Linked DNA regions of Stegostoma tigrinum. The protein of the gene in region 2 purifies or fractionates together with the protein of the main gene of each other region. This does not show direct contact. Links are inferred from orthologs where the notes say so. Each region holds a gene or a part of one and is shown on either strand. Other genes may lie near its edges. The genes, in order: gcfc2 and hdac11.

Region 1 (10,129 bases), on a different chromosome or scaffold from region 2:
CATTTGATTTCAATCCCAGCTTCTTTAAACTCTCTGTTCCATAGCTACTGACACCATCTCTCACCTTGACCACAGGCTGAAATTTAACTAGGCCATTTGCAACCTCAGTATCACACCTGACCACAAAATAAGATTCCAATATCACAAATCGCACCAGCACTAAAGACTGTCTATCTTCACCTCCACAACATCACCTGACTTCACTCAGTCTCTCAAATCCCCTTAATGAAATCCTCATTCAGGCCATTGTTACCTCAAGACTCAATTATTCCAATCTACGCCTCTCGGATCTCACACAGGACATCCTCTATAAATGTGAAAGTCTTGCTTTATGAATTCTCATCTTGCTTTTCAAATTCTTGCATAGCTTGCTCTCCCTAACTCGCCAGTCCCATAAAACAGATATTTGTGCTGCTCTAATTCTGGCCTTTTGTACACCTCCAATTTTGATTGTTCCATCACTGGTAGCAATGCATTCAGTTGCCCAGTTCCCAACTTCTGGAATACCCACCATGCTGCAAAAAACCTTGAGGTATTTACTGAGCTATTGCTATTGCTAGAGGAGCATTATTTCTGAATTTAGCACTATTAGATCTTCAGTATCTTATCCAGAGCTATGCTGTCACAGTTCAGAAGAAATAATGGCAGACTTTAAACATTAACTTTGTTTCTCTTTCCACAGATGCTGCCAAACCTGCTGAGTTTCTCCAACATTCTCCCTGTTTGATTCAGATTTCCAACATTTGCTGTAGTTTGCTTTTATTTGAATGTTTAATTCACTGCCGCTTCTCTTCTTAGACAGAAGTCACACAGCACCGGGTTATCGTCTAATGGGTTTATTTGAAACCACAAGCTTTCAGAGCATTCCACCTGAGAAGGGAACAGCACTCTGAAAGCTTGTAATTTCAAATAACCCTGTTAAGACTATAACCTGGTGTTGCATGACTTCTAACCTTGTCCACCCCAGACCGACACAGCACCTCCACATCATGGCTTCTCTTCCAGGAATGTCTATCTTGAAGTTCTGCTTTTGTCTCCATTGGGATTTCAGTTCTAATCTTTTGGCTTATTCACATTCTTTGCTTTCTATCTCTCTTCTGGTTTGGGATAAAGTGTTAACCAAAATGCACTTTCACAGCCACACTATCTTCCTCAGTGTCTGCCTCTGGTTCCACGTTACCCCTCACAAATTCCAATCGTTCTTCCCACTCTTCATTTTAACCCAACCAGGATTACAGGCATTTCCGAGACAGACAACGCTCCTCAGGTATATTTCTGAAAAAGGGTGCCAACCCGAAACATCAAATTTCCTGCTACTCTGATGCAGCCTGGCCTGCTGTGTTCCTCTAGCTCCACACTTTGTTATCTCCTCAAATATATGCCCCTCGCTGCATTCTGCAGTCCTGAAGGCTCGGCATGGTGGCTCAGAGGTTAGCATTGCTACCTTACAGTGCCAGGGATCCAGGTTCAATTCTAGTTTTAGGTGACCAGCTCTGTGGAATCTGCACATTTGCCCCATGCCTGCATGGGTTTCCTCTTGCTGTTCTGGTTTCCTGCCACAGTCTGAAAATATGCAGATTAGGTGAATTGGCCATACTAAAATGCCTTGTACTATCCAGGATGTGCAAGATAGGTGAATCCTCTGTCTCTGGGGAGAGGGTACTGGGTGGGATGGTCTTCAGAGGGTCAGTGCAGACTTGATGGGTCAAATGGAGTCATTGGGATTCTGTAATCCACACACAATGCGGTGTGCTGTCACATGCAAACTTGACCTCTGTCTCCATTAGCACTGACTCACCATCTCCCAGCTGTCCCAGGCTCCAGTCCGTTTCATGCTTCTCCTCATGTGAAACTTTAACAGGAAACTACCTGCCTTTCAATTGCCAAGGAAGAATGCCGAAGAATTCATACCAGATGAAACATTAACTCTCTTTCTCTCTCCACAGACGCTGCTGAACTGGAGTTTCTCAAGCATTCTCCATACTTGTCTTGACATTATCACTTGCTGTATTCTTTATAGAATACTCCTGATGGTGTATGCCCAGGCACAGAAATTTCCTGTTCAGATCTCTGTATATTGCCCATTCTGTATCAGAAGGTTTTGATCAGTAGAAAAAATGAGCCAATTTGAGTTCTGGAGAATTCAGGTAGATAGGGCACTGGTATTTGGATTGCAATTCCACAAAGCTGTCAACAGATTATCACCTTGAAGTATTAAGAAAGTTAATTGTTTCTATTTCGGATGCTGCCTGACCCAGGTTTTTCAAATATTGTGTGTTTTTAATCAACCTCTCCAATAGAATGAGAGATCTAATTGAGGTATATACGACACTTAAGGTAACTGATGAAGAAGATCAAAAGTAGTTTACTCGTGTGAGACAATGTACAACAATGAGTTTTAAGGAGTAGCAGAATTAAAAGAGATAAGAAGAATTACTTCTCACAACGAGTCATGAATCTGTGGAATTCATTATCTAAGACTGCAGTGAACTGTCAAGCTTCACTGATTTCCATTTGAATGTGTCTGGTTTTATACAATTTCTACAATTTATAAATACTCATTATCTAAGCATATTCCTTCAACAAACGAATCCCTAAAAATTTACAGGAGTTTCAAAAGTATGTATTAAAATGGGTAAAACCTGATCCTGAAACGCTGAGTGGGTAATCTATCTTGGCCTCCTTCTGAGGTGCCCAGCATTACAGATACCAAACTTCAGCCAATTCAACTCACTTCATACGACAGCAAGAAATGGTTGAAGGCCTTGGATACAGTCAAGGTTTTGGGCCTTGAGAATATGACAGCAATAGAATTCTGAACATTTGGCTGCTGAACTTGCCGCATACCTAGTCAAGTTGTTCCAGCACAGGTACAACTTTGACATCTACCCAATGTAGAAAATTGCCCAGATATTTCCTATCTACAAAAGTAAATCAGAAAAATCCGGAAACGTCAGCTTTTGTGCTCCTGAGATGCTGCTTGGCCTGCTGTGTTCATCCAGCCTCACATTTTATTATCTCAGAAAAATCCAAGTTGGCCAATTACTGCACTGAAAGTTTATTCTCAAATTCATTAGAATAATACCATATGGGAAACTGGTAAAAAACGTAAAAACTCATGGGATTCAAGTTAACTTGGCAAGTTGGATCTAGAATTACTGAAGTGACAGGAGACACAGTATGGTAGTGCAACACTGTTTGTGAGATTGGGACCCAGTAGCATACGACAGGGATGTGCTGTGTCCCTCATTGTATGTGATATTCATAAGTGACAAAAATGAGAATGTGGGGTGGATAAGAAGTTACGGATGACATAAAGATTGTGTGGTTGACTGAGGAGAAAGGCGTTAGGTTGCAGGAGAATATAAACAGATTGATCAGAAGGGCAGATAAGTGGCATATGGAATTTAATCCTGATAAATAGGAGGGATTACACTTTGGAAGAAGGAACAAGACAAGTATCCTCAATGAAAGGCAAGACACTAAGAAGCTCAGAGGAACAGATCTTAGCGTGCCTGCCCAAAGATACCTGACGGCGGACTAATATGCAGCATTACCTTCTCTGTCGTAGCCGAAGCTCAGCAGACTGAGGTCACAGTTACGGGTTTGACTGGTGTGCTTTGGAGCGCCCCATTCGACTACAGCTTCCTCGTTGCCACTGTCTGCTGAAGCTGAGCTGGGGCTGGCGGACTGGGCCCTGGCTAAGCCACAGGTTGGTGGAGCGAGTATGACTGCAGCCCTGGTCCTAGCTCCGGGCTGAAGCTGCTCCTGATCATCCTCCTCGCTGGACTCACTCCTCCTGCGGCGGAAATTCCGCTTCGGATTCTTTCCGAACATTCTAAAGACAATTACAGACAGAACACGGCACCCCGCAACGTTCGCGGAACGGACCGGAAAGGAGAGGGAATCTTCCACTTATTGATTGTAAGGGGGGGGTGTGAAGTATGACAAGGAATAAACATTTATCGCAAAGATTCCAGTTTAAGTTTCAATACCAACACAATACGTAAGTGAAGGCTAGAAATGCACGAGCAGTACTATCCTTTTTCCCATCAAAAGATAAACGACGTCCTGTTTTTAAAATCTCACCAAACATCAACCCCTATTAGATTCTGGGTTTGCTTGATATTTGTATCGAAAAGACTGGACGGAGTTCTTTTAAGAACTGTGGAGGGTGATTCAGAGATAACATAGCGAGGAGCTGGAGTAGAAAAGTGGGCCTTTTTCAGGAGGCCAAGCAGCATCTCAGGAGCACAAAAGCTGACGTTTCGGGCTTAGACCCTTCATCAGAAGGGTCGGACCCGAAACGTCAACTTTCCTGTTCCTCTGATGCCGCCTGGCCCGCTGTGCTCCTCCAGCTCCACATTGTGTTATATCTATGGAGCTGCAGTCGGCCAGGCAGCATCAGAGGAGCAGGAAAGCTGACTTGAGATCAGAGATAATAAAATGTGAGGCTGGATGAACACAGCAGGCCAAGCAGCATCTCAGGAGCACAAAAGCTGACGTTTCGGGCCTAGACCCTTCATCAGAGAGGGGGATGGGGGGAGGGAACTGGAATAAATAGGGAGAGAGGGGGAGGCGGACCGAAGATGGAGAGTAAAGAAGATAGGTGGAGAGGGTGTAGGTGGGGAGGTAGGGAGGGGATAGGTCAGTCCAGGGAAGACGGACAGGTCAAGGAGGTGGGATGAGGTTAGTAGGTAGCTGGGGGTGCGGCTTGGGGTGGGAGGAAGGGATGGGTGAGAGGAAGAACCGGTTCGGGAGGCAGAGACAGGTTGGACTGGTTTTGGGATGCAGTGGGTGGGGGGGAAGAGCTGGGCTGGTTGTGTGGTGCAGTGGGGGGAGGGGATGAACTGGGCTGGTTGAGGGATGCAGTGGGGGAAGGGGAGATTTTGAAACTGGTGAAGTCCACATTGATACCATATGGCTGCAGGGTTCCCAGGCGGAATATGAGTTGCTGTTCCTGCAACCTTCGGGTGGCATCATTGTGGCAGTGCAGGAGGCCCATGATGGACATGTCATCAAGAGAATGGGAGGGGGAGTGGAAATGGTTTGCGACTGGGAGGTGCAGTTGTTTGTTGCGAACTGAGCGGAGGTGTTCTGCAAAGCGGTCCCCAAGCCTCCGCTTGGTTTCCCCAATGTAGAGAAAGCCGCACCGGGTACAGTGGATGCAGTATACCACATTGGCAGATGTGCAGGTGAACCTCTGCTTAATGTGGAATGTCATCTTGGGGCCTGGGATGGGGGTGAGGGAGGAGGTGTGGGGACAAGTGTAGCATTTCCTGCGGTTGCAGGGGAAGGTGCCGGGTGTGGTGGGGTTGGAGGGCAGTGTGGAGCGAACAAGGGAGTCACGGAGAGAGTGGTCTCTCCGGAAAGCAGACAGGGGTGGGGATGGAAAAATGTCTTGGGTGGTGGGGTCGGATTGTAAATGGCGGAAGTGTCGGAGGATAATGCGTTGTATCCGGAGGTTGGTAGGGTGGTGTGTGAGAACGAGGGGGATCCTCTTGGGGCGGTTGTGGCGGGGGCGGGGTGTGAGGGATGTGTCGCGGGAAATGCGGGAGACGCGGTCAAGGGCGTTCTCAATCACCGTGGGGGGGAAGTTGCGGTCCTTAAAGAACTTGGACATCTGGGATGTGCGGGAGTGGAATGTCTTATCGTGGGAGCAGATGCGGCGGAGGCGGAGGAATTGGGAATAGGGGATCTCTTGATGACATGTCCATCATGGGCCTCCTGCACTGCCACAATGATGCCACCCGAAGGTTGCAGGAACAGCAACTCATATTCCGCCTGGGAACCCTGCAGCCATATGGTATCAATGTGGACTTCACCAGTTTCAAAATCTCCCCTTCCCCCACTGCATCCCTCAACCAGCCCAGTTCATCCCCTCCCCCCACTGCACCACACAACCAGCCCAGCTCTTCCCCCCCACCCACTGCATCCCAAAACCAGTCCAACCTGTCTCTGCCTCCCGAACCGGTTCTTCCTCTCACCCATCCCTTCCTCCCACCCCAAGCCGCACCCCCAGCTACCTACTAACCTCATCCCACCTCCTTGACCTGTCCGTCTTCCCTGGACTGACCTATCCCCTCCCTACCTCCCCACCTACACCCTCTCCACCTATCTTCTTTACTCTCCATCTTCGGTCCGCCTCCCCCTCTCTCCCTATTTATTCCAGTTCCCTCCCCCCATCCCCCTCTCTGATGAAGGGTCTAGGCCCGAAACGTCAGCTTTTGTGCTCCTGAGATGCTGCTTGGCCTGCTGTGTTCATCCAGCCTCACATTTTATTATCTTGGAATCTCCAGCATCTGCAGTTCCCATTATCTTTGAGATCAGAGATAATGGGAACTGCAGATGCTGGAGAATCCAAGATAACAAAGTGTGAAGCTGGATGAACCCAGCAGGCCAAGCAGCATCTCAGGAGCACAAAAGCTTAGACCCTTCATGGAGAGGGTTCTGAAATAAATAGGGAGAGGCGAACTGAAGATGGATGGTGGAGAGGAGAGTATATGTGGGGAGGGGATAGGTCAGTCCGGGGAGGACAGACACGTCAAGGAGGCGTGTTGAGGTTGGTAGGTGGGAAATGGAGGTGCAGCTTGAGGTCGGAGGAGGAGATAGGTGAGAAAAGAACAGGTTAGGGAGGCGGGGAAAAACTGGGCTGGTTTTGTTATGCCCTGGGGGGCGGGGACGAGCTGGGCTGGTTTTGGGATGCAGTGAGGGAGGGGGAGATTTTGAAGCTTGTGAAGTCCACATTGATACCATCGGGCTGCAGGGTTCCCAAGCGGAATATGAGTTGCTGTTCCTGCAACCTTCGGGTAGCATCATTGTGGCACTCCAAGATGGACATGTCATCTAAGGAATGGGAGGGGGAGTTAAAATGGTTCGTGACTGGGAGGTGCAGTTGTTTATTGCGAACCGAGTGGAAGTGTTCTGCAAAGCGGTCCTCAAGCCTCCGCTTGGTTTCCCCAATGTAGAGGAAGCCACACTGGGTACAGTGGATACAGTATACTACATTGGCAGATGTGCAGGTGAACATCTGCTTAATATGGAAAGTCGTCTTGGGGCCTGGGTTGGGAGTGGGGGAGGAGGTGTGGGGGCAAGTGTAGCACTTCCTGCGGTTGCAGGGGAAGGTGCCGGGTGTGGTTGGGTTGGAGGGGAGTGTGGAGCTGACAAGGGAGTCACGGAGAGAGTGGTCTCGCTGGAAGGCAGACAAGGGTGGGGTGGGAAAAATGTCTTTAGTGGTGGTATCGAATTGTAGGTGGCGGAAGTGTTGAAGGATGATGCGTTGTATCTGGAGGTTGGTGGGGTGTAATGTGAGGACAAGGGGGATTCTCTTAGGGCGGTTATTGAGGGGGCGGGGTGAGAGGGATGTGTTGCGGGAAGTGCGGGAGACACAGTTAAGGACGTTCTCGACCTCCGCGGGGGGGATGTTGTGGTCCTTGAAGAACATGGACATCTGGGATGTGCGGGAGTGGAATGCCTCATCCTGGGAGCAGATGCAGCGGAGGCGAAGGAATTGGGAATAGGGGATGGAATTTTTGCAGGAGGGTGGGTGGGAGGAGGTGTATTCTAGGTAGCTGTACTTTTCTGGTCCGGAATAACCAAGTGTGGAGCTGGATGAACACAGCAAGGCCAAGCAACATCTTGGATCCTTCTTCAAAAATGGAGGAGGGGAAGGGGACCCAAATACGTAAAGAGCGGCAGACGATGATAGAAGGTGGATAGTGGAGCGGATAGGTGGCAAAGAAGACAGACAGGTCAAGGAGGCAGAAATGAGAGCAGGGGCTGGTCCTGGGATGAGGTCAAGGGTAGCAAGTTTTTGAAGCTAGTAAAGTCCATAGGAGACCGTTGGGTTGTAGGGTTCCAAGGCAGAATATGAGGTCCTGTTCCTCCAGTTTCTGGGTGGAGTCGTTGTGACACTGGAGGAGAGAAATTAAAGAAAGCCTGTATAAAGCTAAGGTCCAGGGACTTTTTAGAGTAAGTCTTACAGATAAAGTATGCCCATCTTGAGATCAACTAGATTCTGTCTAGTCCAGGTCATTGCTGATGGAGTCAGCAATGGAGCATTACCTATAATTACTCGTAACATCAAGATTACTGAAACTATCCAAATCAGAAAGACCAACGTATCATGTACAACCTGTGAGTGAGTGCTGTTGTTCGCAATTCGATTAACTTCGTTAGACAAGGTTCTCCTGCTGGCAGGTAAATCTTGAATGGCTCCCTCCGGTGGTGAATACATCTGGAAATTGATGATTGGTGTGCAACGATAACCCATCGCTTTGCTTCATGCTTAATCAAGATTACCAGAAGATCAAAAGGCACTTGTTAATCAACACCAAAACAGATAGCACTAAAGTGGACTTATTAGGGCGACAGTGTGGAACCGGAGGAGCAGGAGTGTTGTTCTTTGGGCCCTTCTTCAGAAGTAGGGAGGGGGCAAGGGTGCTCACAAATAAATAGAGAGGAGGGGTGGGACTGGGGAAGGTAGGTGGAATGGTGATAGGTAAATGCCGGTAGGGAGTGGTGGGGATCGGTCAGTGAGGTGGGGGGGGGCAGATAGGTTGTGTCAGGTCAAGGAGAGGGAGGTTTGGTCATAGGATGAGGCAGAGGTGGATATTAAAACTGGTGAATTTCATGTTTAGGCCATCGGGCTGTTGGCTGGAGAGGCAGAATATGAGGTGCTGATCTTCCAGTTTGTGGGTTGCGACTTGGGACACAGGAGGAGGCCCAGGTTGGACATGTCTCCCAGGGCGTCGGAGTGAGACTTAAAATGGTTGGTGACCGGAAGGTGTTGTTTGTTGTGTACAGAGCACTGATGCTCTACAAAACGATCCCTGAGTCTACACTTGGTCTCACCAATGTAGAGGACGCCACATCGAGAGCAATGGATACCAAGTTGGAGGATATACAGGTGAACCCCTGTCAGGTATGAAAGGTTTGCTTTGGGCCTTGAATGGAGGTGAAGGGCGAGGTGTGGGGCAGGTGTAGCACTTCCTGTGGTTGCAGGGAAAGGTGCCAGGGTTGGTGGGGTTAGTGGGGAGTGTGGAGCAGATGAGGGAGCCGTGGAGTGAGCAGCCCCTACAAAAGGCAGATTGAGGCGGGGAGGGAAGTATCTCTTTGGTCATGGGATTGGATTGTAGGTAGCAGAGAATGATACACTGGATGCAGAGATATTTCCCTCCCCACCCCAATCTGCCTTTTGTAGGGACATCTGTTCCACACTCTCCACTAACCCCATCACACCTGACACCTATCCCTGCAACCGCAGGAAGTGCTGCACCTTCTGCTACACCTCTCCTATCACCTCCATTCAAGGCACAAAATAAACCTTCCATATTAGACAGGGGTTCACCTGCACCTTGTCAACTTGGTCTACAATATCCATTTCTCCCGATGTGGCCCCCTGTACATCAGTGGGACCAAGCGTAGACTCGGGGACCATTTCATAGAGCAACAAACGACAACACCTTCCGGCCGCCAACTATTTTAACTCCTCCTCTCACTCCCTGGGTGACATATCCGTCCTGAGCCTTCTCCTGTGCCGCAATCACACCACATCCAAACTGGAGGAGCAGCACCTCATATTTCACCTTGGGAGCCTACAGCCAAATGGCCAAAACATAGAATTCACCAGTTTTAAAATCTCCCCACCCCCGCTCTCATTCGCATGTCCAACCATCTCTCTCATCCCCACCTCCTTGACCTGACACAACCTGTCCATCTTTTTCCCCAACTATCCACCTCACCGTTCCCACTGACCAAATCCTTGTTACCCCCTACCTGCATTCAACTATCACCCACCGAAGCTACCTTTCTCCAGCTCCACCCATCCTCCCTCCTGCCTTCTTTACTCAACACAACCTGTCCATCTTCTCACCCACCTCACTGACCAATCCCCACCACTCCCTATCTGCATTCACCTATCACCAATCCACCTACCTTCCTCAATCCCACCTCTCCTCTCAATTTATTTCTGAGCTCCCTTTCCCCTCCCCATTTCTGAAGAAGGGTCTCGAACCGAAATGTCAACTTTCCTGTTCTTCTGATGCTGCCTGGCCTGCTGTGCTCCTCCAGCTCCACACTGTTGTCTCTGACTCCAGATTTGCAGTTCTTGCTATCTGCGATTTATTAG
Region 2 (10,305 bases):
TAGTGGGGTGTACTATCTACAAGAGGTACTGCAGAAATTTGACAACAATGCTTAGACAGCACCTTCCACACCTACGACCTCTTCCGTCTAGATGGACACGAGCAGTAAATCTATGGAATCACCACAAGGTTCAAATTCCCCATCCAAGCCATCAAGGAGTTCGAGCAATACCAGAATCAATGTGAATCAGGTAAAACTCTCCACGCTGAAGATGTCCAGGCAGGTGACAAATGTATTCCGTCTGAGACTTCTATTAAGTCAATTTGAACACCAGTCAAAACACGATGCAGGACAATACAAAGCAACTATTCATTAACAGAGGAAATGTTTGTCTGTTAACAACATCCTGACCTGGAAATATATCATTGTTCCTTCGCTGCTGCAAGGTCAAAATTCAGGAATTGTCCCCCGAGGGCACGGTGTCTCGACCTGTAGCACATGGTCTGCAGCTGTTTTAAGAAGAAAAGCAGCTCACCACCATCTTCTCCAAGGAAACTCAGAATGGTCAATAAATGCTGGTTAGCCAGCAATGTCCACACATGAATAAAAACCAAAACTACTGGATTTATATTTTCAGAATGCATCTGATAATGTGCCACATCAAACATACTGGCAGAAAATAGAAGCTCATACTGTGTGAATTAGCACACTAACATGGATGAAAAATTTGCTACTTAATTGCAAGTAGATAGTATTCAGGAATGGGTCTTTTACTGGTTGGCAAGATGGATTCAATGATATGTCACAGGGATTGTTTGCTGAGAGGTCAACTGCTTATAATTTATCAGATTTTTTTGGGTGAAGCAATGGAAAGCATAGTTGAGAAATTTGCTGATCACACAAGAATAGGTAGAAAGGTTAATTGCAAAGAGGACATTTCAATCAGCTACTGGAGAAATATTACGCAAATTGGAGTATAACGTGAGAAAATGTGAAATTGTCCTTTTCAGCAGAAATGATTAAAAAGCAGCATATTTTTCATTTGGTGAAAGTTTGCAGAGCTCAGAGATGCAAAGGGATCTGGGAGTCCCGCTGCACGAATGCCACAAGTTACTCGTTGTAATTGCATACTAACTAAGAATGCTCATAGAATGTTAGCAATTATTGCAAGGACAGGTGATTACAAAAATAGAGAGGCCCAACTTCAGTTACATAGGGCACTGATGGGAGTGCACCTGCATTACCGTATAGTACTGGTCAGCTTATTTATGGAAGAATATTACAGAATAGTGGTATGCAATATTATGGAAGAATTGGAAGCAATTTCATAACCATTGAATTTTGGCAGAGTAAGAGGTGACTTGATTTCAATGTACAAGATCCCGTGGAGTCTTCACAGCGTAAAAGCGGAGAGAAAGTTTCTGCCATGGAAGAAACTAGAACAGAGGGTGGTGGATGCCTGGAAGTCGTTGCCAGCAGAGGTGGGTAGACGCAGACACGATAGTGTCTTGTAAGATGTATCTGAACAGATACATGGATGGGCCAGGAGCAAAGGATCTGATGAAGGGTCGAGGCCCGAAACGTCAGTTTTTGTGCTCCTAAGATGCTGCTTGGCCTGCTGTGTTCATCCAGCCCCACACTTTGTTACCATAGAAAATAGATGACAGGTTTAGACAGAGGATCTCAATTGACGCAGACTTGGACGGCCGACGGGCCTGTTCCTGTGCTGTAATTTTCTTTGTTCTTTGTATAGATCACTGTTTAAAAATTATGGCTCACCCATTTAAAACAGAGATGAAGCAAAAAAAAAGTCTCAATGTAATGGGTTGTTGGCACTGCTTCCGTCACCTTTTCAGGAAGAGAGTGTCTTGGAATATCTTTTTAAGGCAGAGGTGGATTGATATCTGATAAGCAAAGAAGCGAAAGGTTATAAGCGGTATGCGAGCATGTGGATTTGATGCTACAATTAGATCAGTGATCATCATCTTAAATGGTAAAGCAGGCCTGGCTAAATAGAATATTTCTGCTCCTTGATCAAATAGCTTCATTACATTCCAGCAAATTCAATTCTAAAGAATTCTTACAGAACACTGTCAGGAATATTTATGGTTATGAATTGAGGAGTTTTGCTTCTCCAAGTGCATGTGGAAAATTAAAATCATGTATTAGGTATTCCACAAGATAGGTTTCTCTGGTTTCTACTTACCATTACATCACCATTATTTGAAAATCTGTAGAAAATTCAAAACTTGTACTGTACACAGAAGCAATTTAACACATCTTGCCTTTGTCATGTTTTTGGACAAGCTAATCAATTTGTCTCACTTCCCTGCTTTTACCTAAAAACCATGAAACTGTTTGTTTCCCTTCAAAGTCTACATATAATTAATTTAGAGAGAGAGTTAGGAATAAATCTGCTTACACCATTTTGAGGCCAAGAACTTAGTCGTGTATTCTGCTTCCTGTCCCTTAATTCTATAGTATATCCACCGTCTGCTCACCTCACTAAAAATCCCCAATTATGATTCTCAGACATGCCAACAACTTGCATTTAAGGCCTCTTTAAAATAATAAACTGACCAGAGATTTCACTGTAGCTTATCAAACAAAATCTGACTCTGAGCCGTAAAAAACATTCATACACATGACCAAAAGGCTGTTAAGAGGAAGGTTTTAAAGAACATGCAAGGTTTTATGTTATTTTCTGTAATCTCATCTGTTCAGAAATGATAGACAATGCTCTTTGTTCTCTGACCATTGCCTTCATGTCAACTTATTTCAACAAAACTCGCTCCCCACACCTACACCTCCTCCCACACTTGTTTAAAGAAATTCAACAACGCTATATGTTTCGCAATTCCCAGTACTGCTACCACTGACATCTCAAATGAGATATAAATGCTATGTGATCAGCCCTAGGTTCATCACATTTCCAAAAGAAACATGGTTTCCTGGTCTTCTACTTCATGAGCTATAACGAATTTATAAACTGTAGCTAAATTAAGCTGATAACAAAAGATAGTACAAGGCATCGACTGCAGGAGATGAAGCAAGTTTGTGTGAGGGGAAACTTGAAGAGAAAGATCAAGACAGTAACATATAGTAGTGACATGGTAATGTCAACTAGTCTGTGATATGAAGGAACAGAGAGTACAAACATGAGGACACCAGGAAAAAAAAAGTCAGAGCAATGAAAAATATCAAAAAAGACGAAATTAAAGCCCCCTAATTTCATTGCACACTGCATTTGTAACAAATTGGATGAATTAATGGGACAAGGAGAAATGGATGGATGGATAAATATGATCTGATAATCATTGCTGGCATTTCAGTATAAAGTGACAAAGCAGGACGATACTGTGGAAGAGCTTGAAGCTTTAGAACAGAACAAAGGAACAGGAAGTTTGGTTCTTTTTAAAATAAAAATGAATGAGATTCATGCTGTAATTTAAATGATCTTGGCTCACAGCATCAAAATATACAGTAAATTTGGGCAATGTTCAAAATTGTTAAGGGAACTGAGTGTCTAGCGGGAGTAGTGCACCAGCCCCCGGACAACAGATACACAATAGCACAAATATAAATCAAAGAAAATGGGGGTGTAGAGAAAGGTACTCAATAATCATGAGTGACTTTAATCTTCATGTTTGAATACATCAAATCAGCAAAGATTGAGGCCACGTTCTCAGTTGAAACAGTAGCTTAGAACAAAAAATGTCACAACAAAACCAAACCAGGGGATTGGCCGTTTTGACAGATCTTGTAATGTGTGATGAAACAGGATTAATTATTTGGTTAGGGATCCTCTCAGTAAGAGTAACCATGTCATTAAAATATCACATTTCACTTTAATTTGAGGTTGAGAAATTTGCTCAGAAATGGTCTTTGATTTAAGTAGGGGCAAATACAAAGACAATAAGGTGGCAAAGGCAGACTAGAGAAACAGGTTAACAAGGTAATATGGGGCAGGCATTGAAACATATTTTATAATTCACAAAGTTTTGTTCCATTCAAGTTGGTTGCTAGCATGGGCAGATTGTCAGCTAAGGAAAGGGTGACCAGGTTAGGTCCATACACTTTGATGTTCTGGAGGATGCAATGATCTTGAAACACAATATTTTGTGGTGACTTGAATCAGTAGATATTGACAGAAAACACCCACTCATTGGGGTTGAGGACTAAGGGACATACTTTGAGAACAAAGGATGAATCTTTGTAATTAGCGAGGAGGCTGTGCAGGCTAAGCAATCCCAATATATTCAAGATAGATATATTCCTGAAATTGAATGGGAGTCGAGGGTATTGGGAAACAGGAGGAACGTGAAGATAAGGCCACAATCAGATCAGATCCTTTTTCTTTCTTATAGTCTTATTTGTACAAACCAAAAGTTTATTGCTCATTACCGATTAGGGTCCTTCTCAAATGCTACAGGTGACTTCCTAAAACATGCAATATAAAGCATAAATCGAGAAGTGAACTGCAAACGCAACATCTGCGCACAAGTTGAACTTTTTCGCCCAAGGTCTAAAATAATTGGCGATTTACGTTGTAGCAAATGGTCTCATGACAATTCCAGGTAAAACCCATGTGCCCCTGAAGCGGAAGATAAGTACGTACCTGTCAACAGCGCACGCTGTCAATCACAAGACCCTCGCAAGTGCAGAAACTGAGCTTTTGGGGCCTGGCAATGTTCAGGTTCCAGCTGGGAGAGAGCCCCAGGAAGCGGCGGCTTCACTCCAGTTTCCTGCTTCGCGTCTCCCTCTGCAGGGGCAGAGGAATGTGCGCTCCCAACACTTGGTTTCCACAGTATTACCTTTGAAAGGTCATACTCGGGCTGTTCAGCGCTGAAGGTGAAGGCTCTACTGTAAATAAGCTGCGGCCGCTACGCTCCCTCATCACGCACCGTCTCACGCCGATTGTGCGCAGAGCCCAACGTCAGCAGGACCAGGGGCGGCTGAAGCAGGGGGCTGCTCTCTGATATCATCCGATCGGCCCTTCGCAAAGTTCGGCCTGCTGACTTACACGTATGGGAGGGGGCATGCCGTTCAATGAAATCTTCGAGTTATCAGAACGCAAGTGCGGCTTTTTAAAAAGTACTTTAGAAAATAAAGATTAGAAGAGACAAAAGTAATTGGTCTGTTGCCTAACAATAAGGTGTTCTATAATATTGAGAGATAGAGATAAACAAGTTCCATTTTAGAATAAGAGAAATTCACAAGTTTAGAAAGTGTGCAAGTTTCTGTCCAAGAGAAACAGGTCTATGGCAGCAAAGGTCATTTAGAACAGTAATTTATCATCACTTGTATCTAAAATAAGTAGTAAGTGTTTAAATTGCCGTACTTAAATTGCCACACTTAGGCACCTGTACTAATAACAGAAGGCATAGATAAGAAAATTTTTAAAAAAACTTTTAAAAGACAAAACCCATCTTGGTTAAATTCCCAGTTCCTGAGTTCAAGAAAAGACAGTACCACTGCAAGACGGCCACGTGGGCGACTGGAGTCCCAGGCCACAAATTTCACAGAAGCTATCCCAAGGACCAATCTTGTCATCAATCCCAAGAAGGAAAATGTCCCACAAAAACTGCTCAATGGAATCCCTGGTTGCCAGGTGCCAGGTCAAAACCACCTCAACACCAAAGCCACCATTTTAGGTGCTGTTAGTTTACTAGTGTCCTAACCAGAAAGATCAGAAGACCCAAGAGGCATCAGAGTTAATCAAAGAAAAACTCTAGAAACAGACATTAGTGTGTCAGAGAGGAAGATGTTCCACAAGGCTGGTAATTGCATGAGTTCAAGCAATAAGTGTTCAAAAACAAAGTTGCTGGAAAAGCTCATCAGGTATGGCAGCGTCTGTGAGGGAGAAAACAGTGTTAACATTTCAGGTCCAGTGACCCTTCCTTGGTAAGCTCTGTTAGTTTTTCAGAAATCTTGTGAAGAGAAATTATCTAAAGAAGATAGCATTGAATAAATGCAAAGGTTTACTATAAAGTGACCAAATACAGTCATTCCAACTAAACAAAGAAAAATAAAGCAGAAACAGGGTGACCCTTCATTGAGTTCAAGTATCTGTAAGATTGTTGGTGGCAATAAATGGGTTGAATCTTTATTTTTGATATTTGTGATAAGACCATTTCAAACAAACAGTTCTTATATAGTGTTTTTTTTTGCTTAAAAGACTTTGATGTTTCTTTAATAATACCTTGGCAGCCTCTTGTGAATATATCCAGTCAACAACATTATGTTCAGTTTACCATAACAGTAAATAGATTCTAAAAATAAAACCTCATCAATTCAGCTGACTTGGGGATCTGACTTGTTCCATGTTACTGTCAGCCAGGATCATAATTCTGACAGTTTACAGCAAGGCTGATCTACCAAGTAGTGAAATTTCCCAACTCAAGCTACTTATGTCAGTAACAAACATTCAGTCCATTTTTTTGCAATACAAAAGGAACTTCATAAGGAATAGAAGAAAATAAGTTTTCTAAACAAGTTAGAGAAACTTTAGGCCGGATATTTTTGAGCAAACCATCAAGTTTAGAATAAATGAGACACTTGTCAGTCTTAAATCTGCAAGACAGTTTAGCCCTTCCACTCACCTTGGGCCTGTTGAGAGTCATCTGACCTATTCTATTATGTAAAGGCCATGATAAATAATCTGGATGAGTCTCACACTGGCATCTTTTGCAGACAAAAATTTTCTTGGAAGCCTTGATAGAGGATACAGGTTAAATAGTGGAGCAAGTTATCCACAGTCTTCACTTTGTCAGATGTTTGTCATTGTGTCCCACTTAAGTAGTTACCTTGCTCAAAATCATGAAAAGGACCAATGTAAATTGCAAAATATCTTTGGCAGATGTCATGGTGAATTAATTCTTCAATTGTTTAGAGTCATAGAGTCAAGTAGCGTGGAAACAGACCCTTTGGTCCAACCAGTCCACGCTGAACATAATCCCAAGCTAAACCAGACCCACCTGCCTGGCCCATATCCCTCCAAACCGTTCCTGTTATGTACTTATCCAAGTATCTTCTAAGCGTCCATTTATATTTTTAAGAATAGTGGTGTAAGCCTTTGTTAAATTAAGAAACTCTATCAACAGCCATTCTCATTGAATCTGCAGTTCCTACTATCTCATTCTCATTGAATGTGGATTATATTCTTCAGGTTTAGAATAAATTTTGATTCAGCAGAAAGACTATTTATGGGAAGTGTGTCACTTCCCAAAATGTATGTTACTTCTCAGATATGCCTAGAATTGAGTACAACAATTCATAATAATTTAATGATAATTAATCCTTAGTCAAAAATTATTGATAACTGTCAATGGTTTCTACCATACTGCTTCTAATTGAAAGGCAACCAGTTAGATAAATATTTTCTACACTTGTTGATGTGAACAAGGAATTCTTTTGTTTCCCTCTTTGTTCCTGTGAAAACAGTCTTTGCAAAATTCTTTCATGGGTGTTGGATTGGCTAGTTAAATCGATGTTTATTGCCAGTCCCAAATTACCCCTGAAAAGATGGTGGTGTTTTGCCTCCTTAAACTGCAGCAGTCCAAATGCTGTAGTGCACACACACGCAGCTGTCAAGAAGGGAGTTCCAGGATTTTGATCTGGAGACATTCAAGGAAGAATAATGTATTTCCAAGAATGGTATGACTTGGACAGGAACTTGCAGGTGGTAGTGTTCCCATATTTCTACTGCCTGTGCCCTTATGCGTGGTAAATTTTGCAGGTTTGGAAAGTGCTGTCCCCAAGCTTTGGGGAGTTGCTATAGTGCATCATGGAAATGGCACTGTGCAGCAGTGGTAGACGGAATTAATATTTAAGACGGTAGATGGGGTGCCAATCGAGCAGGCTGCATCCTCCTGGATTTGTCAAGCTTCTTGAATGTGAATGAAGCTGCAGTTATCCAGGTAACTTGTCAGTATTCCTTTAAACTTCTGCCCTTATAGATAGTGGATAGACTTTGGGCCACAGGAAGTCAGTTACTCACTGCTGGATTCCCATCCTTTGACCTGACCTTGTAGCCGTAGTTTTGTGACATGGAGATGGACAACTGAACCAAAACAAGGTTTCAACTTTTCCATTCACAACACAGTAGAATTAAACCATCAAAGCCCCCACATTGTCACTCCAGTAGTCCCCCAACAGATTTTTGAATAACCAATCCCAGACTTTGTGAATAATTCATTTGCAGACACCAGTTTTGCATCTTAAATAGAAGATTGACATGTTTATTAAATACAAATTAACACTAGCAGAGAGAAAATTAAACAGCTGGGTAAGCAGATTAATGTCTGTGTTTTAAATCTGAAGCATTCAGCCCCATTCACACAAAAGACTGACAGACAAATAAGCACAGTCAAGGGATAAACAAAAGACTGTAACAAAACTGGCCAGGTAACTTAAATGTCCTTTATGACGTATTGTTCACAAGCATACATGTGGACTCCATGGCTGTTTTCCATGAAACATTGATCAGGGTCTCCTTCTCTGTTCACCCAGGCAAAGGCAGCACTGTGTCTAAATCAGCTTTCCGCTCTTTGGATTTCCGGAAGCTGGTGTATCAGATTAGGCAGAGAGCTTTCAAATCTTCATGCTGACTTTGCAGCCTTTCAGAACCATCTCTCAGAAAACACAGTTGTAAAGAATCAACTTTATTGTCGCTCTGACCTAACAGATTGATCAACTCTCCCTGAAGTTTCAGTCACCATTCAACAGCTATCAACTGCTTGAACATAGGGTCTCCTTCAGACTTACTGGAACCAAGTTCCATGTACTGATCTTGTTAATACCAACTTCTGCTGTCTGTTTAAACACAATATTCTTCCGTGGTGGGGTGGGGGTTGCGTGCAAGTGAGTTCTTCTCTCAGAGCGTCATTATTCTTTGGAATTTCCTTTCAGAGCTAGCAGTTGAAATCTGCACATTGTATGTGAGAATCTTTTAATCAAGACTCAGCCTGCAACTAGCAGGCCTGGTCTAACAAACAAAGCTTTCTCGGTTTCTTATTTTCTTAACCTTGCTGTCTGGGCAATTAGAGATGGGCAATAAATGTTGGCCCAGTCAGTGATGCCCACATCCCATGGAAGAGTAAATAAAAAAGCTGTCCCAAAGTACGTCAGTCATTTTCAATTAATAATACAAACTTAATAAAAGAATAAAACAATGAAAAGTCAATAAGGATTGATGCCACCCGAAGGTTGCAGGAACAGCAACTCATATTCCGCCTGGGAACCCTGCAGCCATATGGTATCAATGTGGACTTCACCAGTTTCAAAATCTCCCCTTCCCCTACTGCATCCCTAAACCAGCCCAGTTCATCCCCTCCCCCCACTGCACCACACAACCAGCCCAGCTCTTCCACCCCACCCACTGCATCCCAAAACCAGTCCAACCTGTCTCTGCCTCCCTAACCGGTTCTTCCTCTCACCCATCCCTTCCTCCCACCCCAAGCCGCACCCCCAGCTACCTACTAACCTCATCCCACCTCCTTGACCTGTCCGTTTTCCCTGGACTGACCTATCCCCTCCCTACCTCCCCACCTACACCCTCTCCACCTATCTTCTTTACTCTCCATCTTCGGTCCGCCTCCTCCTCTCTCCCTATTTATTCCAGTTCCCTCCCCCCATCCCCCTCTCTGATGAAGGGTCTAGGCCCGAAACGTCAGCTTTTGTGCTCCTGAGATGCTGCTTGGCCTGCTGTGTTCATCCAGCCTCACATTTTATTATCAAGGATTCTAATAACATTATTTATAGAATGGGTCCAAATTTGGTTCTAGTCATTGGTCACACCAAGACATTGAAAGCGGGGGATTCTGCCCTGGTAATGGCATTGAATGACGTGGGGAGATGATGAGATTCTCTCTTGATGGTTGTTGCCTGTTACTTATCTGACTGGAATGTTACTACCACTTATCAGCTCAGGCCTGTTATAATAAACCTTCTAAGTTGCTAGGAACCCACTTCAGTTTTGGCTTGTACATTAGCTGCATGTATCCTTCATTATCCTGGTCTCTTAACTCTTTGCTTTACATTATACTTTCTCTTTCAGTGAATTTTAGAATTGAATTAATTAAATAGTGCGAACATTTCTTTTTTTAAGTAAAGACCTCTTTATAATGGATGAAAGAAGTCAAACATTGGAAATCAGCAATGGAGTAAACTTTTTTTGACTAGGTTGGTATTATATGACAGGATGTGGTGAGTTTTAAAAGTAAACTATTGAGTCATTTCCTGAGTTATGCAGGCTTATAATGTCTAGCTAGTCACACAACAAAATGATGTCAGTTTCAAATCCTGATCAATTTTAATGATTTTTTAAAAATTCATGAACGGGATGAGGGAGCCACTGGCTAGGTA

The links.
Region 1: the proteins of hdac11 (region 2) and gcfc2 purify together in Homo sapiens (co-immunoprecipitation; 3 studies listed by BioGRID and IntAct, counting the BioPlex papers as one, with this or other methods). This does not show direct contact. The link is inferred for Stegostoma tigrinum from reciprocal best matches to the Homo sapiens genes HDAC11 and GCFC2.

What each region holds. Positions count from the first base shown.
Region 1 is NC_081357.1:74,077,089-74,087,217, forward strand, and holds the start of gcfc2 (GC-rich sequence DNA-binding factor 2), read right to left. Parts: upstream 4,049-10,129; 5' UTR 3,838-4,048; coding exon 3,558-3,837; intron 1-3,557.
Region 2 is NC_081364.1:26,227,389-26,237,693, reverse strand, and holds the start of hdac11 (histone deacetylase 11), read right to left. Parts: upstream 4,872-10,305; 5' UTR 4,559-4,871; intron 1-4,558. UniProt on the Homo sapiens protein: Responsible for the deacetylation of lysine residues on the N-terminal part of the core histones (H2A, H2B, H3 and H4).